2 linked regions of the Neurospora crassa OR74A genome follow. The protein of the gene in region 1 interacts with the protein of each later gene in a biochemical or structural test. Links are inferred from orthologs where the notes say so. Each region holds a gene or a part of one and is shown in the gene's direction. Other genes may lie near its edges.

Region 1 (3,682 bases):
GCCTGGATTTGATGAGTCGCTGGAATTTGGCCCAAGTCGGATGATGAATCTGGCCCTGGTGTGGGACGAGAGACGAAACAAGAGAGGAAGTGGGAGGGAGAGAATTCAAACGGATCTTGGGGGTCAGCTTGGAGTATAATGGATAGAACGTGGTAGAGGTAGGTTGGTAGGGCTGAGTATCATGAGGGGCAGCCTGTGGATGGCCGCTTGGTTCCCGGCCACGCTGCCTCCTGGTAGTGCCGAACAGACGGATCTTGCCATTACGTTTGTGGCTTATTGGACCAACCCAGCTCCCATCACCCACCATTTTGAAGAGAATTTTGACGCAATAAGAGGCCACCGGCTGCGCCCACTCCCCAGCGCGGGACCACCGACCATACGCTTAGCATGGGTTTAGCGGTCATTGGCATTGGTGAATCGCCCCCGCCAGCATCCTGCCTATAGTTCCTGACCTTTTCCGAAGATGACGTGAGACGCCTTTTCTCCCATCGCTTATCCCGGTCTCGTTCAGCAGTATCAAATTGCCACTCGACGACTCCCCGAATTGTCCAAAAAGCATCCGTATCCGGCTTCATTGCTAGGCGTGAAAGGATTAGTTGAAACTGGACAAGTGGACAGACTTCATTGAACAATAGCCTGTGAGGTCGATGAAGCCTTCGGGGCTTGTCTGCCCGCGGCAAGTGCTATGCCATCCAGCCGTTGAGATCCTAAAATATCCAGGCACCCATAATACCGGGGTATAACTTGAAGAGCGGGACCGCCAAGTTACTAGGTCGAGTGTCGACTAGCTACTGCGGCGGTTGAGGGCTGTGGTATTCGCGGATTAACAGCGGCTCGGCTGAAAACAAGAAGCTGTCAAGCAGGCCATATGGGCTTTTGATATAGGCATGATAACAGGGTATAGGTCGCCAACTGATTTAGTTCCAAATTGGTAAAAAGATGATGGATGAGATGCGAGCCGGCCAGATATGGATTGGATGTCGAGGAACATGAAGGCGTAGGTAGTTGGAAGATGAATGGGTGAGAGGATGAAAAGAGACCAATGTCGAGGTTTCAGTCATTTCACTTTGGGGAAAACAAAATGCCAAGCCTTACCTACCCTTCACCCCACCCATGCCTTGATGGATGGAACCTTTCCGCCCGCTACGCCAGGCGATCAATGGACTTTGGTTTTTTTTTGTTTTTTTTTTTCTCTTGCGGTGTTGCCCCTCTGTGGCCCTCGGACATTCACTCCGTCGCAACCACCTATGACCATCCCTACAGCAGTGACCCCGCCGCTTACGACATCCGTGAAACTTTCTTCCCGAGACTCATTACAACACCATCTCTGCGCAAACTGAAATCTGCAACAACTTTGATTTTATCCGACAGATAACACAGAGATCACCAAACGATCTTCCACGCACCCGTGCACAGCTGTCGCACCATGGCTTCGACTTCGGCATCGTCTGCCGCCAAGGCTGACCAGCCTGTTGCCATCGTCTGCGTTGGCATGGCAGGTAGGTCTACGCATGCTCATGTTCTGTGCTTTTCCCAACCGCAAGCGGAATCATCCAGCTGACCATGTTCCCCAGGATCCGGCAAGACAACCTTTATGCAACAGATCAATGCCCATCTCCACGGAAAGAAGGAGCCTCCTTATGTCATCAACCTCGACCCAGCAGTCACCCACTCGCCCTTCGAGAGCAACATTGACATCCGCGACTCGGTCAACTACAAGGAGGTGATGAAGCAGTACAACCTCGGCCCCAACGGCGGCATTCTCACATCGCTGAACCTCTTTGCCACCAAAGTCGACCAGGTTCTCGGCCTGCTCGAGAAGCGCACGGCGCCCAAGCCCGACGACCCGACGCACACGCCCATCAAGCACATTCTCGTCGACACGCCGGGCCAGATCGAGGTGTTCGTCTGGTCCGCGTCGGGCCAGATTCTCCTTGAGTCGCTCGCCTCATCCTTCCCCACCGTCATCGCCTACATCATCGACACCCCCCGGACGAGCTCGACGTCGACCTTCATGAGCAACATGCTGTACGCCTGCAGTATCCTTTACAAGACCAAGCTGCCCATGATTCTGGTCTTCAACAAGTCGGACGTTAAGGACCCGGCTTTTGCAAAGGAGTGGATGACCGACTATGATGCGTTCCAGGCTGCGCTGCAGGAGGACGAGACCAACAACGCGTTTGGCGGAGCGGAGGGCAGCGGCGATGGCATGGGCTCGGGCAGCGGATACATGGGCTCGCTGTTGAACAGCATGAGTCTGATGTTGGAGGAGTTTTACGCACATCTGAACGTGGTGGGCGTCAGTTCGCTGTACGGGACGGGCATTGACGAGTTCTTTGCCGCGGTTCAGGAGAAGGCAGAGGAGTTCAAGCGCGATTACCAGCCTGAGCTCGAGAGGAGGCGCGAAGAAAGGGAGGAGAACAAGAAGAAGGCGCGGGAGAGGGAACTCAACAAAATGATGAAGGGAATGTCGATGGGCGACGCGGCGGGCGACGTCACAGTGGGTGACGTCAATGATAAAGAGGCCCCCGAGCCGTTGAGCACGGACGAGGAGAGCAGCGACGAGGAATATGGTGACGATCCCAACGACGAGTATGACCGCGAGGGATTGCAGGCGAGGTACGCCGCTGCCATGCAGGGCGAGGATGATTCGGTTTTGGCCGACGCAAGTTTTGCAAAGTACCTCCACAGCCAGAGGTGATGAGATTGGCCATTGGTAAGGAAAGGATTTATGGAGCAGTGTTGGCAAGACAAGTGATCGAGAGGGAAGGAGATTTAGCATACAACCGGCGTTTTCAGAGTGATACCATACCAATATTCTATATGGCAAAAAACATGATCAATAATGAGAAGCATCACAGAACGGATCCATCTGATGGTGATAGGTGATGATGACGATGATGAAAAGCAATGCTTTCTTTGTATAAATTCCCACAAGTCTACCGATATTTCCCAGAACGCCGCCATCATGATATTGTGATGAATATGATATCTCCCTTCTTCTGATCACAACAAGCCGTAGGTTCAAGGCTGGGCCATGCTAAGCCACCGCTAATGGTGCAAAATCACACCAAGATATCGACGGTTCGAGTCTCCTACGGTCCCAGCTCCCCTCGACAAATGTTCCCGTTGCCTCCAAGGCTGACTCGGCTCCCGTCCTTGGGCATCAGGACATCCCGGCCGGTCCAAATACGATGAAAACTTCAGCCCGATACGGCATCGAGGAAGAGCGACCCCTTTCTACACCTCCTTTGTTGGCCCCAAGTCGAACAAAGTCGAATAAGAAACCATTTACCGAGCCTCGAACTGAACCATTCTATTACCCCCAGACCGTCGTTAGCATAAGATTTTTCTCTCCCACCTTCTCAGAATCTTCCACCGGGTAAGCCCAAAGAAAACGTACCTCTTGGTGCGCTCCTTATACAAAACACGCGCACCGCACTTCTGGCAACGGATAGGAGCGCCCTTCTCGAGCGGCACGCGGACCGCGCAGTCGCCGCAAGTGTACCACATGACGCTGCTGCCACCGCTGTTGCCGTCGTTGTTAGAGGCACCGGTGGTGAAGCCCTGGGAGTTGGGGACCTGGTATTGCTCGCGGGAAGACATCTTGGTTGTTTGTGTTGTGTTGAGGGTGGTGTGGTATTTGTGGTTTGGGTTTGTTTGTCGTCGGGTTTGCTCGGAT
Region 2 (4,409 bases), on another chromosome or scaffold:
TACCTAGGCAGGCCGGAAGAACCCAAAGAAGCACTGCAGAAACAACGACATTTGGGTGGGGGGGTTTGGAGGAAAAGGCAAAATGGAGGCACAGACTCCAAGTGCTGCTACTTATCACTTATGCCAAGCAGTTAGTAGCAGCAGACATCGATCCATGTGCGGGTGGTGGCTTGTGAGAGAGGGAAACGGGAAAATACAAGAAGCGAGTGCGAGCGATAGACAGGAATAAAAGGAAAATGCCAAGAGATGCTAGCATTTTGGACCAATGGGAATGGCAGAAAGGGCAGATGGAGAAACAAGGTTACACTCCCACGGCCCATCAATGGACGGCCGACTGGACTGCAACACCTCGCAGGGGCCACAGGGCTTCTTTTTGGGGTTCTTGGGAAAAAGTGACCTCCGCTGTGAGTGACTGGACCCGATCCGTTTGGGGTTCAAGTCGGGTTGGAGGTGATGCATGACTCCACACGGCGCGCACCGCTGCACGGCTGACTAACCGGGCGACCATGGGAAGAATAGGAGATGTCGATTCAACTTTAAAACTAGCGAGGTAATGAAAGTGAACCTTGCCTCATAGATAAGTTGCCCGCAGAGCTAAAGTGTTTTGAATTGTAAACTGCCGGTTTGATGTCAGGTTGACTTTTGGGAATTCACCCGTTGAGCGAGGAAACTGAAGCCGAGACTCAAAAAGAGGACAACACAGTACGAACCAGACGAGGGTCCCCCGTGCTCGCCGTGCTAGCGCAATGAACAAGATGCGATAAGAAGCGGAAGACACACGGGCCACCTCCAAGATCTCAGACCCCTTGTCAGGTACGAGCGCTCGTACCGGTACGTACCGTGATTCCAGATTCTCTGGATGGATGCTGCGCGACATTTGGAGCCGCGCTTGTGCGACCCACTTGGCTAGCGACACAATAACCGCGACGAAACTGAACTGAACTCTGCAGTGCAGTGGCCATTCCAAATTTCAGTTGCCGGTACGTCACACTCGTCAATGCGGCTGGTTTCGGCTGGTCAGCCACACGAACGTACCTTTGGAGTGAAAATGATGTCGTCGCGGCTACGATTTCCATTGTTGGAAGAACTTGAATTCATAGTGTAGCCTGGGGCCGGGGAAAGGCACACTCTGCTTGCAGTGGTAATACGTACCTAGGTATGAAATTACAGCACCAGATTGCGATTCCGAATTACGCTCTTTCTGCGTGCGTACTGCAGCCGGTGTGTTGATAGGCCCTGGCCGCATTATCTTGGTGTAACGTCGAATGACAAGATCTCAAGACACCCACTCACGCTCAGTACATAGGTAGGTATGTAACGCAACCACCAACCCGGCAAACACAAAGCACACGGCCGCCAAGATGCCATCAAGTGACTGACTGACAAAGAGGAAATCGACATGAGCTCACTTGGCATAGTCGACGAGAATGTCGGAAACAAGCTCATCTCATGCTGATCTCTTCCCTTGGAGACCATCGGACCAGCGGCCACAATCCATGTGCATGTTGGTATTCCGGAATACGAAACGCGAAACAGACGACGAAAACGGGGCCAAATGAAACCCCAAGCCGCGCACGGTACGGTAATGCACTGTAAATACTAGCATGAATACTGTGTACTCCCCGTGTCTTGGATCGCCGCTAATGCAGTGCTGGCTTACATAGTAGGTCGTTAAAGCCGCCGGGATCCGCCGCTGACAATTCTTTTCGTTCGGCAGGCAACTTGAAGGGAAGGAAGCCCCTCGTTGCATTTCTTTGAACTTTATGCCGGATGACCGAATCTGTATCAAAGAGAATCCACGGCTCCATCCACGGCTTTCTTTGAGCGCCGCATACATTATCCCCCATTATTCGCCATCACCATCATCATCACCATCAACCAAACAGTCCAACTCGTTCAACTCTGATTGACAAACGCCGATAACAAAGATACAAAACGACCGCGACACATCATAACGGCCTCAACACAATGGACGGCACTCTCGAAATCCTCGATGTCAAGGAACGCAAAGTGGGCGAGGTCAAGCCTCCCGCGTTCCCAACGCCGCCGCCTGCTTCCTCCGGAGGCTTTCCCGCTCCCAAGAAACGAGTGTCTGCCTTCAAAAAGCAGCGACAGCAACAAGCAGACCCATCGTCCTCGTCATCCCAAGCGACCACACCAGTACCATCACCAGCCATCCAGTTCACCAGCGGCGCGAGGCCCCAGATCGACGCGGACCCTATCAAATCCGAAAAGCAGAGGATTGACGAGGAGAACAACAAGCTCCTGAGCTCCATGTCGCCAGAAGAGATTGCCGAAGCCCAACGAGAGCTCTTCAGTGGCCTTGACCCCAAGCTTATCCAGATGCTTCTCCGACGAGCCAACGTCGAGGACGGCTCCAACAACAACGACCCCAAAGTCTGGGACATTCCCGAGAAACCGGCCGACGAGGAGCCAACGGAAAAGAGGGCCGACGTCGGCAGCGGTCCCACCATCTCCTACAAGAAGCCACCCTCCATCCAGACCTCGAGCTCGAAAAACGCATACGTACAAGACGAAGATGAGGAAATGACCGAAGACCAACCCAAGAAACCCAAAAAGACCGTCACCTTCAACGAAGACCTCGCCCCCGAACAGCCTCCCTCCGGCAGCTTCCCCATCCGATCCAAACAGCCACCCACGCCCTACCCCCAAAAGACCAGCTTCTCCGCCGAAGACCTTGCCATGCCCACCGCCGGCGGCTCCTCCTCCGAACCCCAAACTCCCACCACAACGCACCAATGCAACGACCCCTCCCACAACCACGGCGACGACGAAGAGCTCAAAGGCGTACACTTCCCCGCCGCCCCCGCCCCTCCCGACCTCGACCCTTCAGACCCCGACTTCCTCGCCACCCTGCACCAAAAGTTCTTCCCTTCGCTTCCCGCCGACCCCTCCAAGCTCGCCTGGATGGCGCCCATCCCCACCGAAGACTCGCCCGCCGACCAGGAATCCCCTTACTACCCGGGCCAGACCTCGCTGCCCGTCTCGGCGCTCCGCTTCGACTTCAAGGGGCGACTCATCCCGCCCCGTCTGTCGCGCCAGATTCCCGTGTCCAAGGGCCTGCATCACCACGGCGAGGCGCCCGAGGCAGCCGGGTACACGATCCCCGAGCTGGCGAGGCTGGCGAGGAGTAGTGTGAATAGTCAGAGGTGCATTGCGTTTAGGACGCTGGGGAGGATGCTGTATCGTCTGGGAAAGGGGGAGTGGGGAACGGGTGCGGGCGGTAGGGATGGTGATGAGGATGATTTGGCGTTTGCGCTGTGGAGGTGTTTTCAGGAGGGAAGGGTGTTGGAGAGTATCGGGGAGGCGGCGGATGTGGAGGAGGGGGTGGGCAGTGTGAGTGTGAGGGCGTATGCTATTGAGGCCATGTGGTTGTTTGAGAAGGGTGGGTGGAAGGAGAAGTGGAGAGGTTTGTGAGCGGGGTTGGATGAAAACGAAAAAAAAGAGAATATGGATAAGAGTCGTGGAAAACTTGTGCCTTGTAGTATAGTAGGAAATGGGTATGGGATGGGATGGGACACCGACCGACTGACCGGCTGGCCGGTAAGGGATAGGGTAAAATGGAAATGGATCGATGGGGGCGGATCACTGATTTTTTTTGGTTGGTGTTATTTTCCAGGTTTCATACCCCTCTGGTGGTGTCAAATTGCAATTTTTCATACTCATCAAGTGGCCTAACATTGTACACAAAATAAATTGTCTCCTTTGGTCGGGTCGGTTGCAGCTTACCTCGCCTATGAAGCTCGGGGTCTCTTCCTGCATACCCGCACTTAGTATATCCCATGCAGAAGAACTTCATTTCTTTCACTGTACATTATTCCTACAACACAATTTTCCACCGAATAACTAGTCTATATCACATCGATCCTTAGATTCTAGACATGCTGAATCACGATTTAGGTTCACTTTCCTATTTATATCTTCAGTGGCTACCTACTCCCTAGAAACCCCAACCCTCTAGAAAGGGAGTCCATACTTCAGTTGTTGAGAATTCAGACGGGCTATGATCAACCTGACAGAGGTATCTGATGTATCCGACCAACTCATGATATTTAATTTCTTCCTTCCGTTACTTCACTCTCACTTTCACTCCAAGTACTCTAGACTACTTATTCCTCTTCCTACAGTGTCCTACTTCCGTATGTCACATACTTCAATCATATTTCCACTATACGACCAGGCCAAGCAAGACTTGTTGTACTTGACATTACTATATATGCCTCCTTGCCTAGGAGGGAGTCTAATCATGACAAAGATATCTGTTTCGTATCTCTGATTAGATTGGGTACCTTGGAAGTCACCGAGTTGCAAGTTTGATCTTTGTTGAATCCTGGGGAGTACTGTAGCCTAAGTGATCTCCTTTCTAAGGGAGGCGTTTGCACTCTCAC

The links. The genes of interacting proteins can lie anywhere in the genome.
Region 2: the proteins of NCU04507 (region 1) and NCU06859 form a complex in vitro, tested with the Saccharomyces cerevisiae proteins (2 studies listed by BioGRID). The link is inferred for Neurospora crassa OR74A from reciprocal best matches to the Saccharomyces cerevisiae genes NPA3 and RBA50.

Annotation. Positions count from the first base shown.
Region 1 is NC_026504.1:3,142,370-3,146,051, reverse strand, and holds NCU04507 (ATP binding protein), read left to right. Parts: upstream 1-1,179; 5' UTR 1,180-1,426; coding exon 1,427-1,499; intron 1,500-1,574; coding exon 1,575-2,701; 3' UTR 2,702-2,871; downstream 2,872-3,682. Other genes in the region: NCU04508 (hypothetical protein), read right to left, coding at 3,292-3,316, 3,404-3,606. UniProt on the Saccharomyces cerevisiae protein: Small GTPase required for proper nuclear import of RNA polymerase II (RNAPII). May act at an RNAP assembly step prior to nuclear import. Promotes sister chromatid separation during anaphase.
Region 2 is NC_026507.1:529,942-534,350, forward strand, and holds NCU06859 (hypothetical protein), read left to right. Parts: upstream 1-1,732; 5' UTR 1,733-1,968; coding exon 1,969-3,438; 3' UTR 3,439-3,886; downstream 3,887-4,409. UniProt on the Saccharomyces cerevisiae protein: Forms an interface between the RNA polymerase II enzyme and chaperone/scaffolding proteins, suggesting that it is required to connect RNA polymerase II to regulators of protein complex formation.